2 linked regions of the Lonchura striata genome follow. The protein of the gene in region 2 purifies or fractionates together with the protein of the main gene of each other region. This does not show direct contact. Links are inferred from orthologs where the notes say so. Each region holds a gene or a part of one and is shown on either strand. Other genes may lie near its edges. The genes, in order: BICD2 and DYNC1I1.

What was found.
Region 1: the proteins of DYNC1I1 (region 2) and BICD2 purify together in Homo sapiens (affinity purification with western blotting; 4 studies listed by BioGRID and IntAct, with this or other methods). This does not show direct contact. The link is inferred for Lonchura striata from reciprocal best matches to the Homo sapiens genes DYNC1I1 and BICD2.

Annotation. Positions count from the first base shown.
Region 1 is NC_134614.1:541,605-548,787, forward strand, and holds the start of BICD2 (protein bicaudal D homolog 2), read left to right. Parts: upstream 1-4,179; 5' UTR 4,180-4,408; coding exon 4,409-4,648; intron 4,649-7,183. UniProt on the Homo sapiens protein: Acts as an adapter protein linking the dynein motor complex to various cargos and converts dynein from a non-processive to a highly processive motor in the presence of dynactin.
Region 2 is NC_134603.1:132,300,926-132,309,176, forward strand, and holds the start of DYNC1I1 (cytoplasmic dynein 1 intermediate chain 1), read right to left. Parts: upstream 3,059-8,251; 5' UTR 2,715-3,058; intron 2,031-2,714; 5' UTR 1,964-2,030; intron 1-1,963. UniProt on the Homo sapiens protein: Acts as one of several non-catalytic accessory components of the cytoplasmic dynein 1 complex that are thought to be involved in linking dynein to cargos and to adapter proteins that regulate dynein function.

The sequences.
Region 1 (7,183 bases), on a different chromosome or scaffold from region 2:
TCTGGGAATTGCAGAGCTCACAGGGGGACAGTCGCGCCCCTGCCGCAGCCGCCCAGCATGCCCTGCCTGGCGCGCTGTAACAATGTATGAAAAGAAAGACATCTAGAAGGAGTTTCCTGTCTGCAGTGACCCCAATTTTAAGCACAAGTTAGACTGGTTTACACATTCAGATACCTCAATGTTTTCCAGCATTGGATTATAGTGCCTATCTGCTTTGGGATTTGGACTGAGGTTAAATAAAATGAGCATTGCAGGGTTTTGCCTTTGCTATGACTTTTCCCCTAGGGAAAAATTTTTCTGCAGGTTAATTTCCACAAGAAGAAACACTGTCCAAATTTATTCTAGCATTTAAGATGGTTCTTGTATAATTCTACCACTTTGTTCTCAGTGGATAGCTTTAAAATCTCAACAGGAAAAAGAAGAGCAACAATCTCCAGGTGTTGTTGTCATGATTTGTCACTGGCACAATGCCAGCGCCCCCATGAAATTGCAACCTCTCAATTGAATTCTGTGAAATGCGATCGAGAGCAGAGCAAAAGTAGGTCCAAACTCAAGGGAAAAAAAACTTTATTCAGCTACTACTACTATACTACTATAAAGGAAAAAAAAAGAAGAAAAAACACACACAAAATTCAAAATGAAAACCTTTCAAAACATTCCTCCTCCCACCACCCAACTCCAACAAACCACAGTGAGACACAACCTGGACCCCCAATCAGGTTCCCACTCTCCAGTCAGTCAATACTCAGTCCATTGAGGAAAAGAGGAGTCCCTCCCGTGCCACAGACCCCCCAAGAAACTCAGCTGCCACGTCCTGTTTCCACGTCACTCATGGCACCGCCCGGAGAAAAAGTTTGCCGTGGTGACCCTCTCCTTTCCATGCACAGTGTTCTCACCACCAATGCATGGATGGATGGAGAGACTGCTTTTAGGATTTTTCCTTTCACGGATGCTCTGCCAAGAGGGAAAAAACAACAGTTTTTTTCATTTTTGGGACCGCAGTCTCCCCCATTTCCCCCTAGCACCAAGGGTCCAAGAACAGAAATCTTCTCTTCTTCTGCTCTGAAGACAGGGGGCACTACCACAAACCTCCCTAACTTTTCTCTGTTTGCTCCACTTCTGACTTTTCCCAGCTGAAGCAGGTCTCTTTGGCTCACTGGTATCCTCCTAAAATACAGTCTCTCTTGGAGGAGAAAATCAGTTCAGTCTGTGGCTACCAAGAAAAAGTCCAGCCAAAAGCCACTCCATCATCGCCCCCCAACCTTCTTTCCCTCACAATCTCAGGTCCCAGGCTGTCTCTCCTTCAAACCGAGAAGTAATATTTCACAAAGCCTTCATTTCTCAAGGAAGGGTTAAAAGTCCCAACTCCCAAGGATGGCTCGCTGCCCAGGCTCCGGCTCCCACAGTGGCTGGGCACTTTGTGGCACCCCCTCTCTTCTCCTTCCCTGGCGTACTGCTGACAAACTGCTGCTTTCTCTCTCTCTCTCTCTCTCTCTCTCTCCTCTGTGGGAGAACAGAGACATCCCCAATTTCTCCACCCTTCCATCCATCTGTAGGGGGTTCCAGCCCCCTCCACCCTCCAGCCTACCTCAGTCAGGCCTTCCCCTCCCCCATCCAGCCACGGGCCGGGCACTGCACGCTGACCGGAACCAAAGAGACCGAGTTCTCCTGGGAACTCTGCTTTTAACCCCTCTGTGTTCTCAGAGGCGTGTCCACCTTCAATTGGTCGATATCCAAATTGACCTCTTCCTTCCAAAAAAATTCTTTTTCCGTGTCAAACCACGACAGTTGTGTAAGTCTGTATCACCAAAGTACACTTGGCCATGACACCTTGAATCAGTGGGGTACCAGCTAAGCCTTTGCATTGATGGAGTTCAGGGACATGACCTGGGGAAATGGGCAATGGTCTCTGGCTGTGCTCAGGAGCAGGTGATGGGCACTAGCCAGGTTGTACTCCGCCACTCATTATACAAGCTTTTATTATCCTGCATCATTACCTTGAAGGATGATGGGAGCCTTAACTTTGACATGTGACTCCAGTTTTCTAAAAGGGGGCAGGAATGCTTTCAAATTAGCTATTGCAGTATTTATAATTTCTGCCTTTGCATCTTGGGCAGTTTATAAAATAATAAAGTTTGAAACCTAGAAAAAAGCAATAGTTCTAAATATGACCTAGAAAACAAATTATCCAGCAAAGTCCCTTGTGCTATGATGAGTTGATCATCTCGTCTCTATGAATCACTCAAACTAGTCAGATCTCACAATTCACTTGTAATCCCAGAAATATTCAGGATGTGAACTGAAGTTCTGTGTCCTGAGAGCAAGTCATTACATGCAGGTTTCAGTTTAGGAGAGGGAGGAGCACTGAAGGGTAGCTAATGTGCTTCAGCCCAGAGCTGCAGAGAAAACCTGGAATGAAGGCTCGGAAAGTATGAGGTGAAAGAAAATAAGCCAGTATTTATTATGAAAAATATCTTAATTATGAATCAGTTGTGAATGGGTGCAACTAGCAATGCTACCTGCTTGGGCAGACAGAAGAAAAACATAAAAGGCCATGAAGAAATCCTAATACTGAAAAACAGAGTGTGGAGGAGAGGTAATGCTGTTATTTTTCTCCCTTATCTTTATCAAAGAATCAGAATGTTCAAACCCCCAAAAATATTCTGTGACAGTCATGATGGTATAGAGGTACACAAGAATGAAAAGACTTCTACTAAGAATCCTGAAAGTAAAAAACTAAAGCAATTTCATACGCACACTCCAGGCTGAGGACATTGATTTGCTGCTTCTAAGGTCTGGGTGACTGAGTGTCACATCAGTGCTCAGAGGGCAAATGCATATCTGCACCTGATGCACAGGGAGCTGCAGGAGGTGTCAGGACCCTGAAGAAAAATTGACTAAGGCAGCTTCATGACTAACAGGCAGCATTCAACCATGACACAGCTTATTAAAGGGATAAGTGCGTAGGCAGAAGTTCAAAGTAGCTTGAAAAAACCCTGCAGCTGTGAGTAAATATGTTGCTTCATGTTTGAGACCTTGTGGAGTGCTCAAACATGTAATTGTTTTTATTATGCTTGCTATTTGCTCACCAGTTCATTACTGATTGTTTTTGACACTGAAAGAAAGTCCAAGCCGCACTTGCTGTATGAAAGGATGATGAAGCTGTAGGGCTCCTGACCATGGGAGTGAAGCATCTCCCCACCCCACAGGGACACACCCCCCCCACCTTTATGGGGCTGCTTAGGAATTGCAATGGCCTAACTAGTAGAGGTTTGTCTCTGTTCAGTCATCACTATGCTTTAAAAATTACTTCTTCCCACGGTGCCCCAATCAGTGTCCCAATCCCTGTGCTTTTGCCACCAAACATGCCCAATAGGTGCAACCTGGGGCAAAGACTGATGGCATTTTCCTCACAAGGTGGCAAATCCTTTGCAGGCAGCACAGTACAGCTGCCCAAGTGTCACTGCCCCATAGCTGGTCACGGCACTGGCTCTTCATGCGATCTATCCGTCCTTTCATCAGGTAGCTCAGCCATAGGGGAAGACCTTGCCCCGCGGCCGTGGTTATCCTCGGAATGACTCGGGGGACGTGGCTTGGTCCCTGTCGGTGAGCAGAGAACGCCTTGTAGCAGGTATTCCACCTGTAGATGCAGAACACCGCTCGGTATGGTGTGGGGCTGGGGCCAGCCTTCTCCTGTGACCCTCTGTCCTCTCCGTGCTGCTGTGGCACCGCCCGCCGCACCGGAACGTCTCCCCGACACACACGCTCTGGTGCACGGGCTATCTTTCATACCCAGCCGATTCCGACGCTTTCTCAAACCCGCCTCGAAAGCCCTCCGGAGCGTGGTCCGGGCCGCCAGGGTGTGTACACGGGCTCTGTGCATGGGGTATATGCCCTGGTCCCGGGGCCTGTGCCCGAATTTGTATCCGGGGTCAGTAGGGGGGGGTCCTGAGGTGCGTTCGCTGTCGGGCCACGCCGCCCCCGGGCAACGCCGGCCCTACGCTCTCGCCGTCGCGCTACCCCGCGTCGCCCGGCAGAGGTCGCGCTCCTCCCCGCCCGCCACCACACCCACTTGTCGCGGTGTTTGTCGGGAGCTGTAGTCCGGCGAGACGCGCGGCGCGCGGCGCGTCGAGAACCGAGGACTCCCGCTCCCAGTGTCCCGCGGGGCGCCGGCCCGGCCGTGCCTTTTGAATGATTTCACTGCGCTCGGCGCTTGCGGCGAGCGGGTTCCAGGGAGGATCTGCGGCGGGAGCAGCGCGCGCTAGGCCCGTCGATGGCGGCCCGAGCGGGCCCTGCCCTAGCTGTCCGCGGGCCGTGCCGCTGTTAGAAGTAGTAAACTTAGGTTAGGAGGGCTGCGCGTTCAGCCTTTCGCCCAACCGCCTCGGCGGTCGGAGGTCCCTTCGCCGACATGTCGCAGGCCATGGAGGAGGAGGAGTACGCCCGGCTGGTGATGGAGTCGGAGCCCGAGTGGCTGCGGAGCGAGATCAAGCGTCTCTTCCAGGAGCTGGGCGAGACCACCCGGGAGAAGATCCAGGCGGCGGAGTACGGGCTGGCAGTGCTGGAGGAGAAGCAGCAGTTGAAGCAGCAGTATGAGGAGCTAGAGCTGGAGTACGAGACCATCCGCACCGAGATGGAGCAGCTAAAGGAGGTGAGGCGGGGGCGGTGGCAGGTGGGCGGCCTGGATCCGGGCGCGGCCGTGGCGGGTGCAAGGGTGAAGGCAGCGCGGAGCAGTGGGAACGGGGCTGGCTTGGAGTCAGGGGCCGGCAACCTGAGGGGCCCTGGGGCTGCTGTGGGGCGACCGGCGGGTTCCTAGGCTTCGGCCTGGCTCCGGCAGAGCGTTTGCCCCTCCCCAAAATGACAGCTCCCAGGTGCCTAGTTGCGGGCCAGCCCAGAAGAGGGAAGGGATGGAAAAAAAGGCCTTTCTGCTCCGAGCCCCGCTCCTGTGAAGGGGGATATGGGAAACGGGTGGACGCTTTTCTCTTTCCGTCCCGTTCCGTTTCGTCTCAGGATCCGGTAGGTGGGCCGCCCCAGGACTGCTGCAGGGCGTGAAGCCCGGTTGGGGTTGCCCCTCCCGGGGGTTGGGGCTGTCGCCGCCGCGCCCCCGGGCGAAACACAGGCAGGCGGCGGGGGGCGAAGGCCGGGGCCAAGGTGCGGTGGCGATGCTGTCATATGCCTGCTTTCGTGTGGAAGGAGAAATCTTACGTTGGTGTTAATCACTTCCTCAATGGGGACCGCCACAAAAATAGTAGAGCAGACTTCAGTTCATATAACTTTGTTTTGGTGCAGGTCCTACCGTTGGCATATTTTTAAATTACTTCCTATTTTAAGGGGAATTCCAGATCTAATCTGTACAGGAGAGTAAAGTTTGTCAGTAGAAACGCTGTATGAGGCAATTTGCACGTTAAGTTTTTCTCGTGCAAGATCTCTAGGTGTAGAATGTGGGAAAAGTGCTGTCCAGGCATGTAGACTTGAGCTTTGCACTCCTTATGAGCTGATTCTGTCAGCCCACTGTAGAGCATGGCCCATGGGAACTTGTCTGCATATAGCTTTGTTTGGTTCAGTGATTTGGCATACTGGCAAACCTTGTGCTGCTTTTCAGCTGATTTAGGCCTTGCCTTGATTGCAAAACATCTGATACAGCCTAAGAGGTGAATATAGGTGGATTTGACCTGTACAAATTGTATCCAATGGAGCTTAGCTTTAGTTTATTCAGTTGGAGATGGATTTTAAGTAAAATCAGAATACAGTATTTCAAAGGAAAAGTAAATCCTTGTAGCAGACTGGTACAAAATCAGCTGAATTTGTGAATGCCCTCCCTTCCTGCTTACTATATATCTTTTAGTCTTGTAAATAAAGCTTTATTTTGCTTTTATTGCATTAAACAAGCATAAGCAAAGAGGTTAACTACTTTGAATTACATGGCTATAAACTTGTTAACTAAATAAGCTGAACGGATATGCTGCTGTTCCTAAAGCCACTTGAGACCAGCACAGCAGCATACAGGAGCAGAAACTTGGAAGTCAAGGGCAGAGGCAGTTGTAGAGTTGAGCTCAAGGGAGAGAAAGTCAGTAAACTCAGTTGATAGGTGGAATGCGAGACATAGCGTGGAGAGGCTATAGGAATAGCCCAACCTCATTCAGCAAGGCAGTGCCTGACACACCAGTGGGAGCAGGATGCCTCCATCACAGGTAGTGGCTTTAGTCACTGGGCTCTGCTATGTGTGTTTGGGCATTACATGTTTTGACTTGCAGATGAAAAAAAGCTTGATGGTACTGTCTTTTCATTCTTTTAGGGCTGTAACAAGTGAAAGGCTTGTAAAAGAGATTAAAAAGAAAAAAGAAAAGCAGAATCAGCAATGATTCACTCTTTTTTGCTTTTAACATTTTGAAGGATTTGCTTTGTGTGTTAATGTCCCACTCTAATTAAGTCAAAACCTGGGAAGCAGACAATTCTCGGAGAACAGCTTAAGGACTCTGATAGCTTACTCAGGGAAAGAGCATTGCTCCTCTAGCTTTCTTGTGATGCTGTGCAGGAATCTGATTTGCTGTAGATCTTGTAAACCTTTAGCAGATGTATGAAGTGTATGCTCAGAGGAGGAGTTTATCATCATGCTGTTTTATGCAACTTCTTGTTTTTCCCACACTCAGCTAGAGGAGCGCTGCATACAAGACTTATTACATGTCACGCTCCAACCTAAAGGGATTACTTAAGTTGTAACCCTAAGGGGTTACTTAAGTTGTTCTTGGGGAATGTGGGAGATTGATGTGAAACTAGAACTATATTGCTTTCCAGCTCTTGCTTATTAACTGTAACTTCATGCAGGCTTTTAAGATACAGCCCTTTTACTCTCTATAGAGGTTACTTTGTTCATCTATGTTGAGAGAGCTAAGCGGCACAAGGCCATGTTAGGCAGGGTGTGGGGCAAGCATGCGGAGGTTTTCTGTCCTGCTGGGTATTGTAGATTTGGATATGCTTTAATTAGTTTGATATTATGAATAACTCCTGTATCACGGCCCTGTTCATACTGTAAGTAAATAGGTTCAGAGCACGGGAACTTTGTAATGCAGTTTGTTGAAAGTACAGGCTTTTCTGCTATAGTCATCAGATCTTTCTGGCCAGATTCTCTTTCTTGCCATCCAGTGAAATTCAGAAATTTCAGAGCCTTAATCTCCACTGTTGTATC
Region 2 (8,251 bases):
TGGCACTAGGTGTTGGTAACTCTGAAAGATTCCTAATTCTGCTGCCAGTCAAACCAAGCCAAAGGAGCTCAACAGGGCACTTGAGGCATAGCCCTGGTTAAGTAGTCCTAGAGAGTGACCACAAATATGTTTAAAATCTCTGTGAGAAGTTAAGTTTGAGGAGCTGAAAGATACCACATGATTAACTGATACACTAGCAAGAGTAAATGAAGTTTTCAAAAAAATATTGCCTTTCTCTACTCTAAATGTTTTTTCTACTTCAATCCCTTATCTTTTTCCCTTCCAGCCCATTTCACATCATTGTCCAATATCCTGCAATGGTGGTGCCTCTAACACAGCCCATTATTAGAGCAACTAGCTCAGTCTAGTATTCCCCCTCTCTCTTCTTGCATTCTGGAAAACAGAGGGCAGCAAGGAATGCTTTTTGAAACCTGTCTTACAAAAGAAAAGAAGACCAAGAGACCGAATCTGTTAACTTATTTAAAAATAAGGCAGGTAAGTTCTCATTGCATCATTTAGAATATCTACACTGAAGACAGCTGCTAAAGCAAAGCTTTTATCTATGGGAGGCATAACAGGAACTAGAAACCTGAAGTTGGAAAAATACACTGAAAAACAAACACATTCCAATAATGAAAAAAATACCCACTGAAAGGCATCACAAAGGAGGGCAGTTCACTGCCCTTCCTCCTATAGAAAGAGCTGGAAGGTCAGCTTCTTAATTTAAGATCTGCTGGCTACAAAGGAATATTTCCCTGTGTATTCTTTGAGTAGCCAGATCTCCAAACTTCCAGTAATTACTGCATGTGTAAGGTGTGTTTTATTGCTGCTCCTTTAAAGATTCCTCTCCTAAACTGTGGATAAGGCAGCACTACAGTTAGTGAATTTTTATGGTAGACTAATTAGAGGCAGAGGTGCTTAGAGCTGAGAGAAATCTAGCCAATCTAACTCTAAACCATCATTTGGATCTCCATATACCTGGCCCTCAGAAGTCCTGCTTAACAAGGAAGATGATGGTAAGTCCCAATCTTCAAATCAGTCTGTCCACAGAGAAAGTTCAGAAGAGACAACACATTTTTGTATTTTTATGAACTATAAATGGATGATTTTGGGAAAAGAAAACAAAGCAGAGGATGCACTGGTGAGTGAGCACTCCCATCTGGGTGAAGACCCAGATGTAGCCCCAAAGTTTGTATTAAAGAAACCATTTCTTGCAGAAAAATGCTGCAAATTATAAAAGGAATTTTATTTGCCTTCACTAAATATGGAGAATGTTACTAGAGATGCCCCCTCAAAAGAAAATAAAAACAAAAAAAAAAAGAGCTTAAAAGAATCAGAATCGCAAACAGGTAACCTTCCCCCTTAACTTAGCAAGAACAGATGAGGCACTTCAACAAAACACATTGGTGGTAACAGAACTTAAATTCCCCAATTGCTCTGATAACACCATCTATCAAGACGCAGGCAGTCCTGGGACCTGGGATTTCCATTCTGAAACAGGTTTTGCAGTCCCATGCTTCATGATATTTAGTGCAATTTCCAATGTTATTTAAAGACTTCAATCAGAAGTGAAGCACTGACAAAATCCTGTATGTCAGGATAAATTTCCAGGTATGAAAGTCATATGCCAGCTTCATGTCAGGTCCTTCCATCTCATGCCCTCTATATTATCAGGCTAGATTGTTTGATCTGCCAAGAATCCTTATGTTATATGCATTTATAGCTCAAATATTTACTTTCTGTCAATGGCAGTATGGACAGAAAAACAAACTTTCTTCCAGTTCATAAAACAGGGGCTTTGTCTAGGAAATCTGGGGCCTTATGTTCTTCTCTGCTGACCATAGGGGATTCCCGGGATGATGTAACTGCAATATCATCCTTTTGAAAATCTATTTCACTGGACTACCAGTGAAAAAAGGCCTCTGGCTGACTCCCTCCATCTCTCACCCTTTTAGGGAATTACCTTAAATGAAAGATCTATTTACTGTCCGCTGTCGTCCTGGACTTGAGCAAACCCGCTACCGCTCACGCTGTGTGAAGAATTACAGATGAAAAACTTTTACCACCCCCTTTTGCTTTAAGCTGTTGGGCGCTCAGGCGGCAGCCGAGAGCCTGCGGCCGTCACTCAGCCCCGGGGCCGGGAGGCGCCCCAGGGACCGGAGCAGGTGCCGAGGCTCGCTCACCGCAGCCCCCCCGCCGACGAGCGCCAGGCCGCCAGAGCCCACCCAAGGCGAGGGCTGGCCGGCTCCGCGGGCAGCCGGGGATGCCCGCCCGCCCAGCCGGGATGCCCGCCCGCCCAGCCGGGATGCCCGCTAGTCCAGCCGGGATGCCCGCTCGCCCAGCCGGGATGCCCGCTCGCCCAGTCGGGATGCCCGCCCGCCCAGCCGGGATGCCCGCCCGCCCAGCCGGGATGCCCGCTCGCCCAGCCGGGATGCCCGCTCGCCCAGCCGGGATGCCCGCTCGCCCAGCCGGGATGCCCGCCCGCCCAGCCGGGATGCCCGCCCGCCCAGCCGGGATGCCCGCTCGCCCAGCCGGGCCGCCTGCCCGGGGAGCGCCTCCGGCGGCCGCACCAGGCTCCGCGGCCGCTGCGCATCCCGCGGAGCGACTCCCGCCCCGCTCCTCCGCCGCCAGCGCCGGGCCCAAGGGCAGCCCCCACTCGCCCCTCCGGTCCGGCCCCGCCGCGTCCCGGCCCCGCCGCCCCGCGGGTGCCTCACCTCCGCCGGCGCCCGGGAGATGCGGAGCGGCTCCCGGCGCCTTGCAGCCCTCACCGAGCCCGCGCCGCCGGGGGAGCAGAGGGATGCCCCGCTGACTGAAGGGCTGCTGCCAGTAGCTGCGCCCTGTCGTGCCGAGCCGAGCCGAGCCGAGCCGTGCTGCCCGCCGCTGCGGCAGCACCGCCGCCGCCGCCGCTGAATATGCTGTCTCACGGTGGACAGGCTCCTCCCGAGAGCTGCTGCTGCCGCTTTCCTCCTCCCGCCTCCTCCTCCTCCTCCGCCCGCGCGGCCCCGGTACAGACACCCCCTCTGCCGCCCCGGGGCCGGGGCGGGGCCGCGGGGCAGGTGGCGGCGGAGGGGCCGGCTCAGTGTCCCCGCCCGGCCCCCCGGCAACTCCGGCCTGAAGTGCGCTCGCTCGGCTCCGCGATGTTCCCCTGTGTCACCCCCACAGTGGCGCAGGCTTCGCCCCGGGAGCAGCCGAGCCGGCAGCTGCGCGGCTGTCAGCACAACACCGGCTTCACCGTCAGCCCCACGACAGCCCAGGCAGCATCCACCGCCGCCTCCACAGACAGCATCCTGACACCATCGCATGGTAGCAACCGGCAGCCCCACGACAGCCCAGGCAGCATCCCCACCACCATCCTGATGGCAGCAGCTGGCAGCCCCACAGAGGCTTAGCCATCGCCCTCTAAGCTGCCTAGAATATCCTCCCAGGCCAGCCTCACCGTCACCCCCTCGGCAGCCTGGCCATCACTCCCGTAGCAGCCTAGTCAACTGTCATGGCTCCAGGCTCCTGCTTAGTCCTGTCCCTTTCTCGAAGAACAGGGAGAGCTCCAGAACAGATGCTTTCATGGCTAAATAAGGACAAGACTGCCCAAAGGCAGACGTTTTGTTTTGCCCGTGTTTCCTCATACCATTCATGGGTACAGGTACCAGACAAGAGGGCCAGATTTCTAGCATTGCCCCTGCTTCTCTCCACATACAGACATATCCATCTCCTGGGGGAGAGGTGCCAAGCAGAGCTATTTAGGATAGTCCATGCTCCTGCAAAATAGCACCCACCTCCAGTGGAGATAACCCAGCTTCCTGCTCCCCTATTGCACTCAGGTATGCTGCCCACACACGTGGAAAACACGTACCTTTTGGTACCATTGGTTGTTTTAAAGAACAAAACATTTTGGTTTGTTCTTTGAAAACATGATGTCCTAGATGTACCACTCAGTGTTGCCTATCCCTCTGGTCCAAGAGGTACCTCCAGAACCCTGTCCCTGGATCCTAATCTCTTGTTTTCCTTTGGTGGGAAACACTTATTCCAGCCACTGTCATTCGAGGTCTAGGGCTTGTCCTGGGAAGAGTAAAGTATATACCCAGCCCACTGGAAAGCCATAAAGAATTCACATCACCTCCAGTTCCTGCCAGACCTAGACAGACTGCACCTGGCCAGGAGAAAAAAATCCTGAAAAGGAGCAAAAGCCTCCATTGCTGGTGTGGATACAGTTAGGAAATAACAGTTTCTCAATTTAATTGGAGTTGAATCAGGATCAGGAATGATAAATCTTTCGCTCTCCTGTGAAGTCCTTCAAGAGCAGCATCTTCTGCTTCTGCATGTTGGAGAATGTGGAAAGCAACCCTGTAGTTTTAAAGGCACAATTTGAAAAGTTTTTTGTTTGGCACATTTGGTTTGCAACTATTCATTAAAACAAGGCCCTTTCAATATCAAACACCTGAAATTGAACTTCAGAAACTGATTTTTGCTTTTAAAAGTGTTGGGGAGTTTGCCTTAGCTTTAACACAAATGCCATAGGGTTTGTTTAGGTTCCTTTGAATTGCATGCCACTTGCAAATTCCCTGCAAACTCAGCAGATTGCTTTAAATTATTCCTGACCTAAGAGGGCCTTGGAGTAATTTAATATTCTTGAATTGACAGATGAGGCTGGTTGTCCATGGAGCCTGATGAGATTCTGCTATTGTTAAGATGCTGTCCTATCCATATAACCATGATGCCATGGTATCACACACATATCATGACATCACATTGCATGATGATACCAGGCATACTAATATATGTCATAAATGTGTTTCCTGAGCTTGTTAAGCCCTAATTTTTTTGTTACAGAGTAATGATATTTTGTGTTCTAGTAATAACTACATGAGATGTTTCTTTAAAAAATCCTGTAAACCCCAGTTCAATGGGACACAATTTTGATATCTATTACATTCACATTTGCCAGAGGTGATTCAGTCTTTTAAAAGTATAAAAATAAAAGATGTAAGTGTATGTGTCAAAGAAAAAATGTTTAAAAATCCTCATCAAACAGAATGACAGATTTAGTAAAATTATTACTTTAAAATGGGGAATTGTATACAGAAGAATTCAGAAATAACTTCAGTGGCCAGGGTAGTATATTAACAAACCCACAAATTTCTCCTCACAATAAACTGTTGTAAGAAAATTTGGAGAGAATCAATCCTGGATAGTAAAGGCTAGATGTTCCTACAAGTAACAACCTGCAGGAACTCAAGAAAAATTTATGAGCAGCCCAGTTAAGAAGGGAAATTTGTTATTCTCTGAAGGAATAACAAATTTCCCTATAAGTGATGCTCTGTCCTCTATGACCTCAATCTCACCATTTTCTTCTCTAAGCTTCCATAACAAAAGGTCTCACCATTTTTGTGGATTTCTTGCTCTAGGCATGAAAGGTCTCTATTAGTTGTCACTAATTTTACAAAGCAGAGATAAAATCTTCATACACCAAGAAGATATGATTATATTCACTTTTCAAAACAAAATATTTATGATCAATAATGTATTTGTAACTCATTTTAATGAAAAATATCCAGTAATTTCAGTATACCACACTAATTTTACATTTTCCCATTAAACACAAATCCATAATATTATCCAACTCAATATATTCTGCTAGTAGCATTTCTGATTACATATTCTTAGTCATCAGGTGAAAGTGCAGTAGCACAGAGTAAAGATTATTTTCAAAACTTTTATGTTCTCATTCTGTGAGTTCAGAAGGTGGTTATTGTAGCCCCAGATTGATTTGTGAGAACAACAGAGGGCAAACTGGTCGGCAATTACAGATGTCTAATAAGCTGCCTTCTCTGCAGCAGAGGTCAGTTTTACATGGACACACACAGCCACCACACTGTCATCTGAAGAGAAATCAAAGATTAAGGGAAAGTCTGAGGTCCATCACAGACTATGGATTGTGTAGAAAAAGGCTATTGTTAAAATTACAAAAATTCATTGTTTGCCTGTCTCCCCTCTTCAAACTTACACACATGTAAAATGTGTGTAAGCTAGAAGAGGGTGTGCACATTAATAAGTGCAATATGTGGTTAATTGCTAGATTGGAAAAGTTCAAGGGAAAGCAATTTGCAATGTTTTCTTTTTGAAGTTACTGTATATAGAGTTGTTCACATTTAAGTTATTAATGAAGATGGGTATAAATTGCTCTGGCAAACGAATAACTGTTTATGATGCAACATAAGACAAATAGTAATAATTAGTGCATTGCATTTCCATGCCTTAGGCACCAGAAACTCCTACATCACAGCGGGCATTAATAAGTGAGCAAACCCTCTAGGAAGTTTGTGCCACTTGAAGGTTAAAAATTAATTTCAAAGCAGACATTTCTAAGGCTTAGTGGAAATGAAAGTACATTTTAGACACTTGGCATGGTAGGCATAATCTAGGCTTGGCAAATAACAGAGGATGTTACAAAATGCCTTCCAGCTTTTCAAAAGCAATGATTTAAACAAAGGATCAAAAGGCAGAATGAAAATTTTAGAAAAAGTGAGGAATATCACTTCTGAAGTCAGGTTTATTGCTGCAGCAGCTAAGTCACTATAGGGCACTATTCCACATGCCTTCAAAAATCTGTCCTTCACAAGTGAACTAGTTAGTTACTCATGTAAGAAATGTATGGGTGGTTGCTCAGTTAAAAAGGAAAAAAGTTACTAGGAAAGTATTGGAGGGCTTTATTTACTGTTTGCTGAAATCAGTTAGATCTCCAGGCAGATCACTGAGTTGAAATTTCCACAAGTCTGAATATCCACAGTACATTCAAGATAAAAAAGAAAGATTTTAAATGCATCTGGTACACAGTTGCTAATAATTCCTCTGTCAATTGATCTATTGGCAGATTACCAGTTCTAAGATCTTTGCTGAAACACGTGTACAAAGCAAAAAAACTCCCACATATCCTAAAAAGGATAAATTCTTTATCAGAAAAAGCATCAGTAATAAGAGATGATGTATACAAGTAGAAGGTAAAGGGAGATCTGTGGCAGGTGGGTGAGTTCCACGCTGTTCTGGATTTGGGTGACTCTCCAAACATGTTGCAACTGTGTGCTCCTAGAAACAATTATTTTAGCAACAGGTTCTTTTCTAAGCCTTCTTGATTTGTTCCTTTGTTCCTCATTTTCCTACAACATTGTCACCAAAAATTCAACAGTTCTGTACATCTGAAATAGGAATCATTAACTTGACTTCACACCTGAGACTGCCTGTTAAAACACATAATTGTCCAGCTTCTGATTTTGCACCTGTAACCAAGGTACAGAAATGGCCTGCAAAAGAAAGAAAGGCTCCAGAAATTTTGTTACTGCCTTTGTAAGTAGCAGGTGCTTGCCATGTAATGCAACCAATTCCTTTTATTTGAAAAGATTCAGTATACTGGGAAGGGCTTGGAAACTTGTCAGCAAAGCAGCTAACCTGGGAAGGAAGTGGAACATTCTGGGAGACACTTCCTGGCAGAGGTCATGAAGACTCAGCAGCATGGAGAGGACTTCAGGCTTGAAGTATTTTACTGTGCTTTGCTACTGTGCTCATGTTCTGAATTACTGAAGAAGCTACAAAAGGACATCTCCATAGTTTGTGTGGCAGTCCCTGAAAATGAAATGGGCTTCAGGCAGGACTGGACAGTTTAGGGAACACAGAATCTGGAATGCTCTCTTAAAGACCAAACTACACAGTTGTCTCCACTCACCTCTGTTTTGAGTTCCTGAGAACTCAATAGATTTGTTGAAGGGAACAAAAGAAAAGTCTGAGTTTACAGAATTAGCAGCAGCACCCAGCTATCTTTACAATTATTGTGCTCTTTTTATAAAAGGTTGTCTCATTTCCCCACAGCACCTTTGGTTTGAAGTCCAGAACTTTATGTTTGATTTAAAACAACAACAATTTACATTTTTTGCAAATACCAAAGGGTACTACTCCTTTATAGAATTCCTGAGATCTCCCAAATATTAACTTGAAGCTTAGCTTTACCAAAATTAAAATCAGTGGTACATCCAAGGTGATGTGTGAATGTCATACATCATGAAAATGTATTAAAGTGTATGAAAGCAGATAAGTGCTATTTTTGACAACAAATTGAATGTTATGGCAAATTATTCATATGATTAAAAGTAGAAGTGCATTATATAGAGTAGATTCTAAAGGGAAGTATTTATCTAAAATGACTCTTTGAAATGTCCCTTATTTTTCATACTTTGCTCTGCCCAAGACAGTCATCTTTGCTTGC